Mytilus edulis: one gene and its partner. The main gene of each other region encodes a partner of the protein of the gene in region 2 in a complex. Links are inferred from orthologs where the notes say so. Each region holds a gene or a part of one and is shown on either strand. Other genes may lie near its edges.

Region 1 (7,946 bases), on a different chromosome or scaffold from region 2:
ATTTCATACAGCAAACCTTTCCCCTTTTCACTGAATTATGAAAATGAGGTCAAGGACAAATGACAGATGGAAACTTTGTAATACAAGTCATCTGCATACAAGTTAAGAAGCATCTAGGTCTTCTTTCTTCTGAAATATAAAGATTTTAACAGATAGTTAACTGGCCATCACCAGATTATAATCCATATCTCTCATTCTGACACTTTTTTGGCAGTCAAAACACAAAATAAAATGTCCTAATCATCACATTAGGGGCTATAACTCCAATGAGTCAATTTAAGATTTCAGTCATGTATGCATTTATAGAGCCTTTTTTGTGATCAGTCTTGCTGTTTATATCTCTTTAATCTATCTATCATCATGATTATATCATTATTTTTATACGACCCCAAAACAATTTTGGGTTCGTATAATGGTATGATGTCATCGTCGTCCGAAGACACTTTGGTTTCCGGATAATAACTTTAGTTTAAGTGATTAGATCTTAATGAAATTTTTACAGAAGGTTCAATACCACAAAAGGAAGGTTGGGATTTATTTTTGGGATGATGGTCCAAACCGTTTAGGAATAAGGGGCCCAAAAGGGGCCAAAACAAGCATTTTTCTAGTTTCAGGATAATAACTTGTTTACCATTGTTTACCAGTATTTCAATTGCTCTGAAAGTATACTGCAATGTTTAAAATCACAAGTAGAAGGTTTGGATTCATTTAAGGGGTTATGGGGCCAAAGTTTAAGAATTAAGGGCCAAAATAAGCATTTTTCTAGTTTCCAGACAATACCTTGTGTGTAATTGCATGGATCGCTCTGAAATTGTACCACAATGTACCATATAACAAAGGGGAGGCTGGGATTAAGTTTTGGGTTAATTGCCCAAAATATGTAGGAATTAAGGGCCAAAAAGAAGCATGTTTCTAGTTTCCAAACAATCATGACAATAACTTGTGTTTAAGTGTATGGATCTCTGAAATCGTAATACAAGGTTCAATATTACAAAGGAAAGCATGGGATTGAGTTTAAGGGTTATTGCTCCAAGGGGGGTTTCAATAAATTGGGGGGGGATCTCAGTTTACCATTTATTGTAAGGGATTTTTTTTTTTTCAACATTTTATAAATTTCAAATTTTGAAAAGTTTCAATAAGAAATATTCAATTGCACAGTATTGTGCAATAGATGTGTTAGATCTTGAACCACATTAATTTTGTGGCAAAAACCTATATTATGTCAAAAATTTGATCACAATCAAAATTCAGACGGTATCAAGCTTGAATATTGTGACCAAATTTGCCCCAACTGTTCAGGGTTCGACCACTGGGGTCGTATAAAGCTGCGCCCTGTGGAGCACCTGGTTTAAGACAATGTTCTTGTGTTGTACTGATACATCACTGTCTCAGGTTAGGGGAAGGTTTGGCACCAGCCAATATGTACCCCACCACATTCTGTATGTGCTGTACCAAATCAGTTGTTGCTATATATCAAGATTTGTTTATATACATAAATCAGATCCTTAGTTTTCTCATTGAATTGGTTTTCATTTGTAATTTTGTTGCTTTTTATAGCTTACAATGTAATATAGTTTTGCTCATTTTTAAAGGCCTTACATTGATGATAGATCTACAGTTACTGTAAAAAATAAAAAAAATATTGTGAGGTTTTTTATTAATGTGATTAATACGACTGGGTGAGTGTTGCAATAATAAGACCTTGAATTTTGATAACAGAAACATAGATCTTCATGCAAATTTTTTTGTTATCGCAATAATTAAACATGCAACGTTGTCCATTTGTGAAAAATCGCAATAATAAATGCATCCCATAATTTCTGAATTTACAGTATTAACTTCTACATCCTTTGGTTTCTTTTAGAGATGTCTCAACTACACTTACCACACCCACTTCATTAATCATAATAACTCCAGATGGAAATTGACAGTTCTAAAAATTCAAAGTCTACAAATATAGTTTTTATTAATACTCATAAGGTGTCTAATAAAGACATGTAACCAGCTGTTCACACATTTACATCACTCTCTTCCAGCACACATATTTATATTCCACTTCATACACATATACACAAAATAAATCAGCATTATTTAACTTCACACTGGCTATAACAATTCTGCATATTAATTTGGTAATACTTTTACTAGTGTATCACAACCTTTCTTTGTATCAGTTTCATTACATAAAAAAATAACTGGGGTTAATGATCGTTAATATCAAGTAATAAATATCAAATTCTCACTTGATATGAAACCTATATTTATTTTTGAATGTTTTTTTAGATTTGAAGTAGACAGACAAAAATGAGTTAAAGATAGATTTCTGTTATTTTCTCAGGTAGTTTGATATATACACGTATATACATTGAAATAAAATGAAAACTCATAGAAACAAATTAACTTCAAACTTTATATATAGTTAAAAAATAAGATTAAGACCACTCGGAAATGAATTCATTAAATGTTGACACAGACATAATTGTGTCTAGCCCTTGCATTATTTTGACAGAAAAATGTAATGTTGAAATTCAAATAGGTGGGACTGTATTCTAGTTTACCAATTATCTTAATCACAAACTTTGTAGACAATAGAAAAAAAAACTAAGCTAAATAATTAATTTCATCGAGAATAAACGTATCACAGATAAAAATAAACAGGGGTTCCAATCTGATTAAAATAACAGTGGGTTCCTGTCCCAAATGCCTCTGGTATAAAGATAATCTGTGTTGCAAAGTAAATGCCATAAAAAATTATCCTCTTTTTCAAGAATATATCATTTTTTTCCCACCAATCATCCAGGTAGACCAACATTGTAGAAGCTACAATTCTAGGCAATATCAGATCCTATAAACATTCAGTTGCTTTTGCAACAGGTATTTGTAGGTCACAAAAAATCAGAACTGGCCTCTGTAAATTTCTTTGATTTTGTCATCAATATTTGTGAAATATTTGAGTTTTATGACAAGCTGTTTAGCTGCAGTTATGTCCCCTTCCTGAAAGGCTTTAGATACTTGACTTATGTTATCATCCAGTCTTTTCTTGTTTATTATTTCTATAGGTTTGAGTGACTCTGGAGAATCAGCATCAGCAATGTCTTCATTGATTTCCATGATTTCCATTAAGAATTCTTGATCAACATTACTATTCTGTTCCTCTATTGGGTGTCCAGTTTGTTCAAGCATGTATAATGCACGATTCAAAGGTTTAACCAAAGTACTGTAAGCTTTATTTACTAGGGATGACTGCTCTTCAAAAAGGATTTTTTCTTCCTGGAATGAATTTAGTATAATAAAATTGTTAACAGATTGAGAAACACACATACAAATCGTTAACAATATACACAAATAATTGAAGGAAGATATGGGGGCAAATGTCAATTTCAGGCCAGGAACAACAACCCAATAGAAAATTAAAACACAAAAATTGAAAACTAAAAGCAACAATGAATATTGTCTTAAGGAATCAAAAAATATAGAATACCATATATATGTATAAATAATTTGTCTAAACATTAGCCCAACAATTTTAGATTGGTAAATTTGCTTTTGTTCTTCCCTTGCCGGGAGATATCATGACGCCAAATCGCATTGCACTGAGACAGATGCGTTAGACGACTAGACCACCTAGCCTCTTAAAAAAAGAGTTTTCAGCGGCACAGTGTTACCTTTCTGTGATTTTCGATGGGGCCTGGGCGCTAGGCTATTGGTCCTAACTTTTGTTTGGCTGTTTATGTGTCGTGTATAGGAGTGGACAACATATAACAACTAACAAATAAACAGCTGAGCCTTGAGTGCATGATACGCCTGTTGCATTTTAAAACAATGAATTTCAATAAATTCTTCATGTCTTATCAGAGGGTTGTATAGGGGGTACCTTCATGACAAAGAACGGTAAAAGTTCTTGCCAAATGGTGTTAACAGTAATTTTTGGTGTATGGCGATAAAATGTACACCTTCTTTTAGACTATAAAAACATCGACTGATTTTGACAAATCACGGTAAAATTTTAACCAATTTGACACTAACGACAGCTGAAAATGGCTGTTTGACTCCTGACGTAAAAGGGCATTACTACCCTTATATCAAAAATTTGTGAAAAACTAAACATCTAAAGGGAAGTTACTTATTAGATATATACAACAGAGGCAGATTTTTTTGGGGGGGGCCCTTTTTGGAAAAAAATTTGGTAGCTTATATACTAGGGAATCACTGAAGCGTGACTGGAGCGGGCCCCCACTTACGGAAATTTCTGGATCCGCCAGTGAACAATTCACCAAAGTATTATGCAAATTGGTACAAGCATTTTTCAATTAATGACCAAAATGTTGAGGAAGGATGGACGGATAACAGTATACCATAATACCTGCCCTTAACCATGTAAACGGCCATATAAATGCGGGAACTTATTTAAAAAAAAATAGATTGACATATATGAGGAAAGAAATGCCCTTTACCGTCAGGTGTCAAACAGCCAAACATGAACTATTTACCTCTGATTTTAATGTGTGCTTGTCTGGATGCAGCAACTTTTGTAATTCTTTGTACTTTTGTGACAAGACTGCTGTGTCAACATCAAAACTATCACCTAAGCTCATTATTTCGAAATAAGACAATGAGTTGACTGATTGAACAACCCCACACTTGCAGAAAAATATGTCTTCCTTGGTATTTGTTGGTTTTCCACAACGCCAACATTCTCTATGTTGTAGACTATAATTCCTTCGATTTCGTAAGGAGGTTTTGACATAAAAGGTACCCTGGTGTAAACTTGGCGTATGACAATAAAAACTGTGGTATTGTCTAGTTCTTTGATTTGCTATAAAATGAATGTAACATATTTCTTTACTTGAAAATGTATTAATTTGTCTTATATTGGTAGATATCAAATTTTGAAAGGATTTTAATAACTTCATGGGCGCAGACATCTTGATTAACGCGAGAAATATCACGTGTCTTAATGCATTTGATAGAGCAGATATCGTGAGAATATGTTTTCATTTCTTCAAGCGGCAAGACAAGTGTTTGCAGTCTATAGTTTATAAGTATGTAATGGTATCGATATGATATCTAAAGTTCAGCTTTGGCTTAACACCTGTTTTACCTTCAACTCACAAATATGTTTGAAAACTGTATGAAAAGAATATTTCTAGAGATGTTTCGGCCACACTACCATTTCGTCCACAACCACAGGTCGTTTCGGTCACTACCAATTTTCGTCCCATTTCGTCAACAACCACAGGTCGTTTCGGCCACTACCATTTCGTCCACAGAATAGTTCGGCCATATTACAATTTCGGTACAGGTTGTTTCGAAGTCCAATCCCTTTGGCTTTGTTTGAATATTCATATAGACGTATTTACACTTGTATGCAAATTTGACTGCCAATTACTAAAATCACACAGGTTCCCGTGTACACACCTTTATTCTCAATTGAGGTCGTTTCGGCTACATTTCCAATTTCAGCGACAGTTGTTTGGGCCGAAGTTTCAAATTCAATCTAAATTATCTGACTTTTTGGCCCATTTATGGGCATTATATGTGTTTTCTGGTCTGTGCGTCCGCTCGTCTGTCCATTTGTCCTTTAATCCATTAGTCCGATTGTCCCGGATCAGGTTAAAGTTTTTGGTCGAGGTAGTTTTTTTATGAAGTTGAAGTCCAATCAAACTGAAACTTAATAAACATGTTCCCCATGATATGATCTTTCTAATTTTAATGCCAAATTAGAGATTTTTCCCATTTTCAAGGTCCACTGAACATAGAAAATGATAGTGCGGATGGGACATATTCTTGTTTTAATATGCATTATATGTCTTATATTAACAGGCGATAAGTTTGTACTTGAACTCATTAACCTTAGGTCTTGTCGGTTAATATTTCTCTTCTTTGGTATTTTCTCAACAATATGCCAGTTCGGAGATAAGGTAGTTAGTTGAATCTATCATTGTAGCCTCAAACACATGTTGCATGAACAGGTGAAAAGTTTTATTCTATACTGCACAAAATGTTTTGGGAATTAAAATCTAATAATATTTTTAATTTAATAAATGTATGCTAAATGTTTTAAAACTACAATTGTGATAAATTTATAGATCTTGAATACCCCATGGCACAATTAATATATGTATACAAACATGTGTAGCAATATTCTATTTATAGTTTGAATTAAAATTAAGTTGTCTATTTTTAGGTATGAGTAGAAAACAGACTCCCAGTGAGTTTTTGAAACAAATCATAGGCAGACCTGTTGTAGTTAAGCTGAATTCAGGTGTGGATTACAGAGGTATGACAATTTAAAGACAAATAGGACTTCATTATTTTCCGCTTTTTATTTTCATAGTTTTTGAGTCACCTATTGTAGACAATACTGATACTAAACTGAATGTTTTATTTATTAGGGCCCAGCCAAAGGCGGGTCACCCTATAGTGATCAGTCTGTCCGTCCGTCCATAACACTTTGTGTCGGCTCCATATCTAGAGAACCGTTATGATTTCATACTTAATACTTTACATGTTTATTAACCACCACCAGAGGGCGTGTCATGATGTATGTACAACTTCCTAGGTCAAAGGTCAAGGTAAAAAAAAAATGGTTTCAATTGACAACCCTGTGTCCTGTGGTGAAGATCGTGTCCGCTCTGTATCTTGAGAACCGTTATGATTTCAAAGTTTATACTTGACATGTATATGAACCAACACCAGAGGGTGTGTCATAATTTATGAACGACTGCCTAGGGCAAAGTTCAAGGTCAAAAACTTTGGTTTCAGTTGACAACCCCATGTCCTATGGTAAAGATCCTGTCCGCTCTATATCTTGAGAACCATTATCATTTCAAAGTTTTTACTTGACATGTTTATAAACCAACACCAAAGGGTGTGTCATAATTTATTTACAACTTCCTAGGTCAAAGGTCAAGGTCAAAAACTTTGATTTCAGTTGACAAACCCATGTCCTATGGTAAAGATCCTGTCCGCTCTATATCTTGAGAACCGTTATCATTTCAAAGTTTATACTTGACATGTTTATAAACCAACACCAAAGGGTGTGTCATAATTTATTTACAACTTCCTAGGTCAAAGGTCAAGGTCAAAAACTTTGATTTCAGTTGACAAACCCATGTCCTATGGTAAATATACAATTTTTTAATGCATATTATTCACAGCGGGGCCCACAGAGATGGCTCCCATCTCAATGATATCTAGTTAGTATGTATATGTATATTGATGTTTATTTTTAAGAACCCTTTTAAGTACAGTATATGAATTTAAGGAAATGAGAGTACACTCCAATGTATGAATGAGACACTGAGCAAACTATTGACACAACAATCTTATAGAGGAATCCACATCCCAATCTTTTTAATTTGTAAATATTAGTAGCTATGAACAAAAATTCTTGTTTTCAGTAACCCTGAATTTATTGAATATTTTTATGAACTTTTTATTCTGAATACTTCTACTTCTACCAATACGCGGCCACCATCAATAAGTTGATTATTTTGCGCATTTAAAATTTATTTAGACAAAAATAATTAATTAATTAAATTGAATTTGTGCTATACAACATATATACAGTGAATTTAATACTATAAGATAATTTTGAAAGCTAGAAATTAATAGAAGTTCACTATTTGTAAAGGTATAATTCTGATTTTTTTTAAATTACTAGGTGTCTTAGCTTGCTTGGATGGATATATGAACATTGCTTTGGAACAAACAGAAGAATATGTGAATGGACAGCTGAAAAACAAATATGGAGATGCCTTCATTAGGGGAAATAATGGTAGGTTTTTGTCTTGCCTTAACTGAGTCAAAAAGCAAGAGGCAGTTATGCTGTTTCTGGTGGTAGGAATGTAAACTATGTGTTAGTTTGAAATTATGTCAGTTTATGGGGAACCACAAAAAAAAAAAAAAAATTTAAAAGTTTGATCTTCAGATCAGTAGTTGTC
Region 2 (7,298 bases):
TATTGAACCATTTATTTTTATTATATAGTTAAAACTACCTAAGAATAATAAAGGGCTTCGTCAAAACACAGAAAACAGCTGTACTTCCACTCCTCGTTATCTAGAGGAGCCATTTTGAAACCCCACATGACCTCAAAACGTGTTTCCGGTTCTAATTTTAGAAAACAAAATTTTCCGATTTGATTTATTTACCTTTCACGATGTTTTAATGTTGTTGAAGAACTGAAATAATATCCTCAGATATCGTAGATTTTAATAGAAACATTGATTTCAACTGTTAAGAACGGCAAATAGCGTAAAATTGCGGCTTTTATTGGGACAATATTTATGTATCCTGAAAGATACACTCGCCCTGCGCATCGTGTATCCTCAAGGATACATCCGCCCTGCGCATTGTGTATCCTCAAGGATACACTCGCCGCGAAAGGGTTAAAATTAGAAAGATCATATCATAGGGAACATGTGTACCAAGTTTGAAGTCGATTGGACTTCAACTTCATCAAAAACTACCTCGACCAAAAACTTTAACCTGAAGCGGGACAGACGGACGGACGGACGCACAGACCAGAAAACATAATGCCCCTCTACTATCGTAGGTGGGGCATAAAAATGAAATTGGTATTGCGCGTTCCTTCCTATTTTATACTAGACTGATAAATATATATTTTACTCAAAGTTTCATACAAACGAGACCGGAAAAAGGAAGTACATTGTACATTTCCGCGCAGGTCCGGGATTTCAAAACACGACAAAAAAAATTTGAACGATTTTGAGTTCATTAGTACAATGAAAAATTCGGGAAATTTTCCCGAATTTTTTTTTTAATTGAATTTTCTACTGTTATTGGGGACTTCGTCCCCATATAAATTTGCAATGAAAATTAGAGTAGACTCGACTTTTAACTAAACTATATATTCTGGAAAATGATAATGAATCCCCTCTACTACAGACTTCTGTGCAAGAACTGAAACTGGTAATTTAAATCTCATATGCAATAGTAAAGGTTCTAAATGCTATTACAGTATATATATTATGAATTTATGATAAATAATAGTGTGTTAAACTTACCTTGGAAATATTTTCCACATACTAAGCATGCATACACATTGATGTGGGACAAGGACACAGAACATAACTTCTCAAAGTCAAAATCAAGAACAGATCTAAAACAAAAAATTTATCAATATAAACCTGTAGTGTTAAAATCTTGTAAGTATAAATTATGCTTCTCATTCATTACTACTATTTTTTTCCCCTTCTAAACAATTCAATTTTGAAATAGTTGTTCAATAATTCATAAACAACTACTGCTGAGTCTGTCTTTCAACACATCTCCAGAGTCAAACAATGAACATGAAAATCAATCAAAGAACTTGAAAAGTATACCATTATTACCCTTGTCCAACAGTGAACATATAAATGGTTTCTGGACAGCATTCAACCAAAAACATTAAAATTTGAAATCAATAAGTTACAGTACATTGTAAATTTTTACAAACATGACCAATACTTCAATTAAAATCAGCAAAATGATGAATTTTGTATAGATTTTTTTATTGAAGATAAATCACCTGAATATTTTGATTGTTGTTTTTTTTCTTGCCACTTCTAGACATAAAATATTGTTTATGGAAAGTAGAATAATATTTGTTCTTACCTATTAATAGTGTCCAAATAAGGACAGATTCTGCTTCTGTCAACTTTAGGGTCCTGTATTGCCGCTACAATATATATGTTTATCATAATTATCTATCTATAAATCATGCAGAGTAAAGCAACCAACAATCAATCAATCTTTCTATAAACATGTGTGACAGGGGGACATTAATTTTTATTTACAATGGAGTGCTACAATGTAACAGAAAGAGCAAATTTACCTGTGTGTAATGTGAGTAATCTTTAATGTTTCCTGATCTTTTAAGTACATTAATTTGTTGTTAAGATAAAAAAATTTGACATCAATCATGAAAAATTAGTTATACCACTGATACATAACTTTCAATTCGTCATGCTTTGCATTGGCAATAGCCAATTTTGTCCGGTATGGAACCAGTCTACGATTGACAAAGGGAAGTAATTTGTTTAAAAAGTGTGCAATAACAGAATCAAATCGGTAATTGGCAAATGGACTATTGAATTCATTCATTGGCAACTCAAGCAATGTCTAACTTGGGTTTAAGTTCAATAACTTTTTCACTTTACAACAGAAATAAAATGACTAAGGGTCAGAGTTCGAAAGCAGGGTGGGTTGAGTAACCGTAAACAGACAATTTTTTGGGAGCCTTATGAGGATGTTATGAAACCCCTTACCATATATATATCATTTTTTAAGTTTTACCAATAAAAGACCTTTTTAATATACCTATTTCCTCATCTTCTTCTTCAATCTTCACTGTTGTCTTTTTACTTGTACTTTTTATTGGTGACTGCTTTTTATCTGCTGATGATTTGGATTCTGTACCCTTTCCTTTTTTCACCTTCTCTTTCTCCTTCTTTTCACTCTTTTTGTCAGATTTTCCAGATTTTTCAGCAGCAGTTATCTCTTTTTTTACTTCTTTTCTTGATTTTTCACTGCCTACAGCTTTATCTGGACTTATTCCACTTTTAGCAACATCTGAAGGGTCTTCGTTTCTTTTAGGTTGGATTACATCAGACTGTCTATTGTCTGAAATTGGCTTGTTTTTTTGTTGACTAGGAGATTTTTCAACCTTAGATGACGAGTCTGTTAGTTTCTGGTCACTGACAACTGTCACCTGGCTGGCAATACGAGATCCCGATTTTTGTGTAGGCTCTTGTTGTGCCTTTGAATGCTCTTCGACAGATGAATCGAGTTTTGGCTTTTTATTTTTTTTAAGAATTGATTTCATGGGGTTGTCATCGTCTTCTTGGACAGTTTCTGGTACATGAGTACGCTTTAATATCGCTCTTGATGAACTTTTTAATTTCGTGCTCAGTTCGTTCGCCGCCATGCCGATATGTGGATGTGAAGTACGTCATTGCATTTGTATAATTCTGATAATTAGTAAACCAATTCCGGAATTTATGAACCGGATTTTGCCTTGTATTAGTTCTCGATTAACAATATAATTATATTGGATTTATTTCCAAGTGCTCCAATATTGGAGGGATTTACGTAAGAAGAAGAAGAAGAATTAGCGATAAAGTGTCAAAATAACTAAATATGGTAAACTGTTTACTTATTGTAAAGAAAACATCAAATACGAATAAAAGTTAAATATGTAAAAAAAGAAAAAAGTGGAACAAAATATATATATAGACATAGAAATTGCCAATGTTTCTAATAACATCACTCAGAAAATCAAAGTTGAAAAGAAAAGAAACATCAAGTTTATTAGATGCTATAATTGTCAGTGTCTTGGCCATCCTGCTAACCAGTGCCAGGACAAAAAACATTGTCACAACTGTGGATCAAATTCCTGCTCAGAAACTTTCTGTACAAAGCCAGCTACCTGTAGAAACTGTCAACAAAATCATAAATCGTCATCATCTCACTGTCCAGCCTTCATCAGATTTATCAACCAACATAAATTTAAAAACTGTATCTAACCATATATATATATTCAACATGAAAATCCTTTTCCTTAATACTCAATCTTTTAAAACAGCAACTGGACTCAAAGAAATTTGTGAAAAATATAATGTTGACATCTTATGTATTAATGAATCCTTTGAATCTGAAAAAAATCCACTCTCATTTGGTTATTGGAAACCAATAACATCACCTAGACCAAATAAAGCAAGGGGAGGATCTGCAATATTTTTAAAGCCAAGCAATCATTTCATAGGACAAAGACAGGAACATTTGGAACTAAAAGACATTGAAATGGTCAGTATCGAGGTAAAAGACAGCAAAAACAAAACATTTCATCCGTACATCCCACCAGAAAAACCAGAGTTAATGAAAAAGCTTTGTACACATATTGAACAACAAAATTTAAACAATTTAATATTGGTAGGTGATCTAAATGCTAAATCCTTCGAATGGAACAATGCAGTTGAAAATAAACATGGAGAATTACTAGAACAATGTATGACAACATCTAAGCTGATTTGTGTTAATGATGATCAGGCTACAAGAAGAGCAAGTAGTTCTGTAATAGACTTATTTCTAATTTCAAGGCATCTATTTAATGATGTTAAAAATTGTGTAACCCTAACTCATGAAAAGGTACAATCAGACCATATTGCAGTATTGTTAGATTTTAATGCAGGTAATCCTCACGAAGAAAATACATCAGAAGAGGAATATTGGAATATCAAAAAATGTGATTGGAATGCATGGAAAGAAACAGCAAAAGACTCATTTTCAAAATTATCCTTTCCACAAAATGAAAATATAGAAAATAACTACAACAGATTTGAAGAAACTTTAACAAACTGTATGACAAAATGCATCCCCTTAGTCAAACCAAAGAAAAAGACGATAATACAACACCCCCCATGGTGGAATGATGATATCAGAGAAATGAAAGGAAAACTAAACAAAGCTCAAAAGAAATTTAAATTAAGAAGTACACCAGAAAATTTTGAAAATGTTGCAAAAGCAGAAAATGATTTTGAAATGACAAAAAAAGATGCCCAAAATAAATGGTCTGAAGACTTGTGTGAAAAAATTGGAGAAGCAAAATCTTTAAGGGAAAAATGGTCAAATTTCAAAAAATTAACTAAAAAGAAATCTGAAAATTTAGTACATCCATTGCAAGGAAATAATGGAAATATTCTTTTCACTGAATCAGAAAAATCTAACATCCTGAAAAATACCTTCTTTGAAGGTTACCATTTAAAAGCAAATAATTTTAATCAACAATTCTATGATGACATCACACAGCAATACATCAGCATTAGTACTTCTAATCAAGAAGAAAATACAGATAACATCAAGTACAATGATTATATTACAATGGAAGAGTTAGAAGGATCCATTTTTAAATTAAAAAAAGAATCAGCACCAGGTCCAGACTTCTTTTTTACTGAACTTTTCATCAATGGTGGAAGCGAATTAAAGTCCAAACTTTTGGACATCATTAACCAGTCATGGGAAGAAGGAATTATACCATTAAATTGGAGAAGAGCAAATGTCAAATTTATAAAAAAATTATATAAACCAAATTACAATTTACCATCATCTTACAGACCTATCAGCTTAACTAGTGTAGTGGCAAAATTAATGGAAAGAATTATAACATACAGGTTAGAAGGATTTGTAGAAATGAACAACATCATGGACCAAGAACAAGAAGGTTTTCGACATTTTAGAGGTACAACAAATGCCTTATTATCTTTAACACAAGCTATTTTTAATGGATTTAACAAAGACAAAACCACTATTGTCATTTTTATCGATTTTGAAAAAGCTTATGATAGCGTTTGGAGAGAGGGTTTAATGGTAAAGTTGTACAATGACGGCATCAAAGGTAAAATGTGGATGTGGATTAATGCCTTCCTCAGTCACCGAGAAGCTAGATGTATGGTGAACAATTACAAAAGTCCTTGGTTTCAAACAAGTATTGGTCTGCCACAAGGATCTGTTATCTCCCCAATCCTGTTTAATATTTTTATAAAAGATATTTTTAAATCCGTGTCTGCAGACTGCTGTAAGTTTGCAGATGATGCAACTATTTGGCACTCACATTCAGATCCAAAAGTTATACAAGAAAAACTGCAAAAAGATCTCAATCAAGTACAAAAATGGAGCAATGATTGGAGAATGAAACTTAGCATTCAAAAAACAGAGTACAGTATTTTCAGTAAAGAAAAAAATAAAGTCCAAAATATCAAACTAAAGCTTGGAAACACAATTCTAAAATACAACCCTAATCCAGTTATACTTGGATTAAAATTAGATGAACAACTAAATTTCAATAGTCACATAGAATCTACAGTAAAGAAAGCCAAAAGATCTTTAGGAATTATAAGAGAAATCAAGGGAATAGCATTAATACCAACAAAGACACTCATTCAAATATATGACAGCTTAGTATGTTCAATTTTTAATTATGCTAGTAGTATTTGGCAATCCAGCACTTCAAGTCATTTAGACAAATTAAATGAAATACAAAGAAAAGGTTTAGCATTGTGTTTAGATCTACCATCTCAATCATCCCTTGAAGCATTAGAAGTACTTAGTGGAACATTACCAATAGATTTAAGAAGAGAGGAAATGGCCATCAGAGAGTTAGGAAAAATTAATTCTTTTAGTAATAATATCCCAATTAAAAGAAAATTTGAAATTTGGAAAGAGGAGAAAAATCCAGAAAAATATATATCACCACTAGGAAAAATGTACCAACAAACTGAAGATATGAAAGATACAGAATTGGTTGATATAGACAAGATAGAACCGCAGTATGAATACCAAGGTCTAGTATCAGTCATTAGAGCCCCTGACTACTGGCGTAACATAGGCAGCTCAAAATCCAGAACAACAGCCCAAATAGAGGAAGGAAAACAAATCATCTCGGAACAACTCCAATCTCAAACACCAAACACAGCAGTTGCTTTTACAGATGGGTCATGTTTAGGAAATCCAGGCCCCTGCGGTGCAGGAGCTATAATTTACATTAATGATAAAGAAGAAAAATTAAAAAGACCTGTCTCTAACAAAGGCTCAATCTTGCTAGCTGAACTTATAGCAATAAAAATGGTTCTGGATTACATAGAATCTTTTTCAAAAGAGCAAATTAATACTTTAACTTTATTTTCGGACAGTCAGACAGCATTAGGTATCTTAACTCTCAATTGGAAAAGTGACAGCTATCATCAAACCATTAACGAAATCAAAGGGAAAATAAAAAATTTAAACGAACATGGATTTTTAATAAACTTAAACTGGACACCAGGACATGCCAACATAAAAGGAAATGACGAGGCAGACTCCTTGGCAAAAGAAGCTGCTAAAGAAGCAGAAACACTAGCCATTGATGATATAGTGTTTACAAAACAAGATGTAAAAAAAGCAGCAAGAAATTCTGTTACAAAAAAATGGCAACGCAGATGGGAAAATATTGATACTGGACGTCACTATTTCAGATTTCATCCTGAAGTTAAAGATAAAGTTAAAAAAGACTTCCCGTCAAAAAAAATGTACAACATAATCAACAGTTTACGAACAGGTTATTCTAAATTAAATGCATACCAATTTATAATAAACCAGCACATCGACACGGAAACCTGTCATCACTGCAAACAAAAAGAAAATGTACAACACTACCTTTTTGAATGTGACCTGTATTCAGATGCCAGAGACAAATTATTTCATCAAATATACTTCATAACAG

The links. Proteins that work in one complex are often made in the same cells at the same time.
Region 1: ubiquitin carboxyl-terminal hydrolase 39-like (region 2) and U6 snRNA-associated Sm-like protein LSm6 share a complex: the UniProt entries of both Homo sapiens proteins name them as parts of the U4/U6-U5 tri-snRNP complex. The link is inferred for Mytilus edulis from reciprocal best matches to the Homo sapiens genes USP39 and LSM6.

The regions. Positions count from the first base shown.
Region 1 is NC_092347.1:98,520,455-98,528,400, reverse strand, and holds the start of U6 snRNA-associated Sm-like protein LSm6, read left to right. Parts: upstream 1-4,935; 5' UTR 4,936-5,042; exon of another isoform or gene 5,043-5,190; intron 5,191-5,239; exon of another isoform or gene 5,240-6,187; 5' UTR 6,188-6,189; coding exon 6,190-6,280; intron 6,281-7,666; coding exon 7,667-7,780; intron 7,781-7,946. Other genes in the region: iron-sulfur cluster co-chaperone protein HscB-like, read right to left, coding at 2,896-3,270, 4,491-4,925. UniProt on the Homo sapiens protein: Plays a role in pre-mRNA splicing as component of the U4/U6-U5 tri-snRNP complex that is involved in spliceosome assembly, and as component of the precatalytic spliceosome (spliceosome B complex).
Region 2 is NC_092352.1:16,012,994-16,020,291, forward strand, and holds the start of ubiquitin carboxyl-terminal hydrolase 39-like, read right to left. Parts: upstream 3,007-7,298; 5' UTR 2,970-3,006; coding exon 2,363-2,969; intron 1,722-2,362; coding exon 1,658-1,721; intron 1,164-1,657; coding exon 1,069-1,163; intron 1-1,068.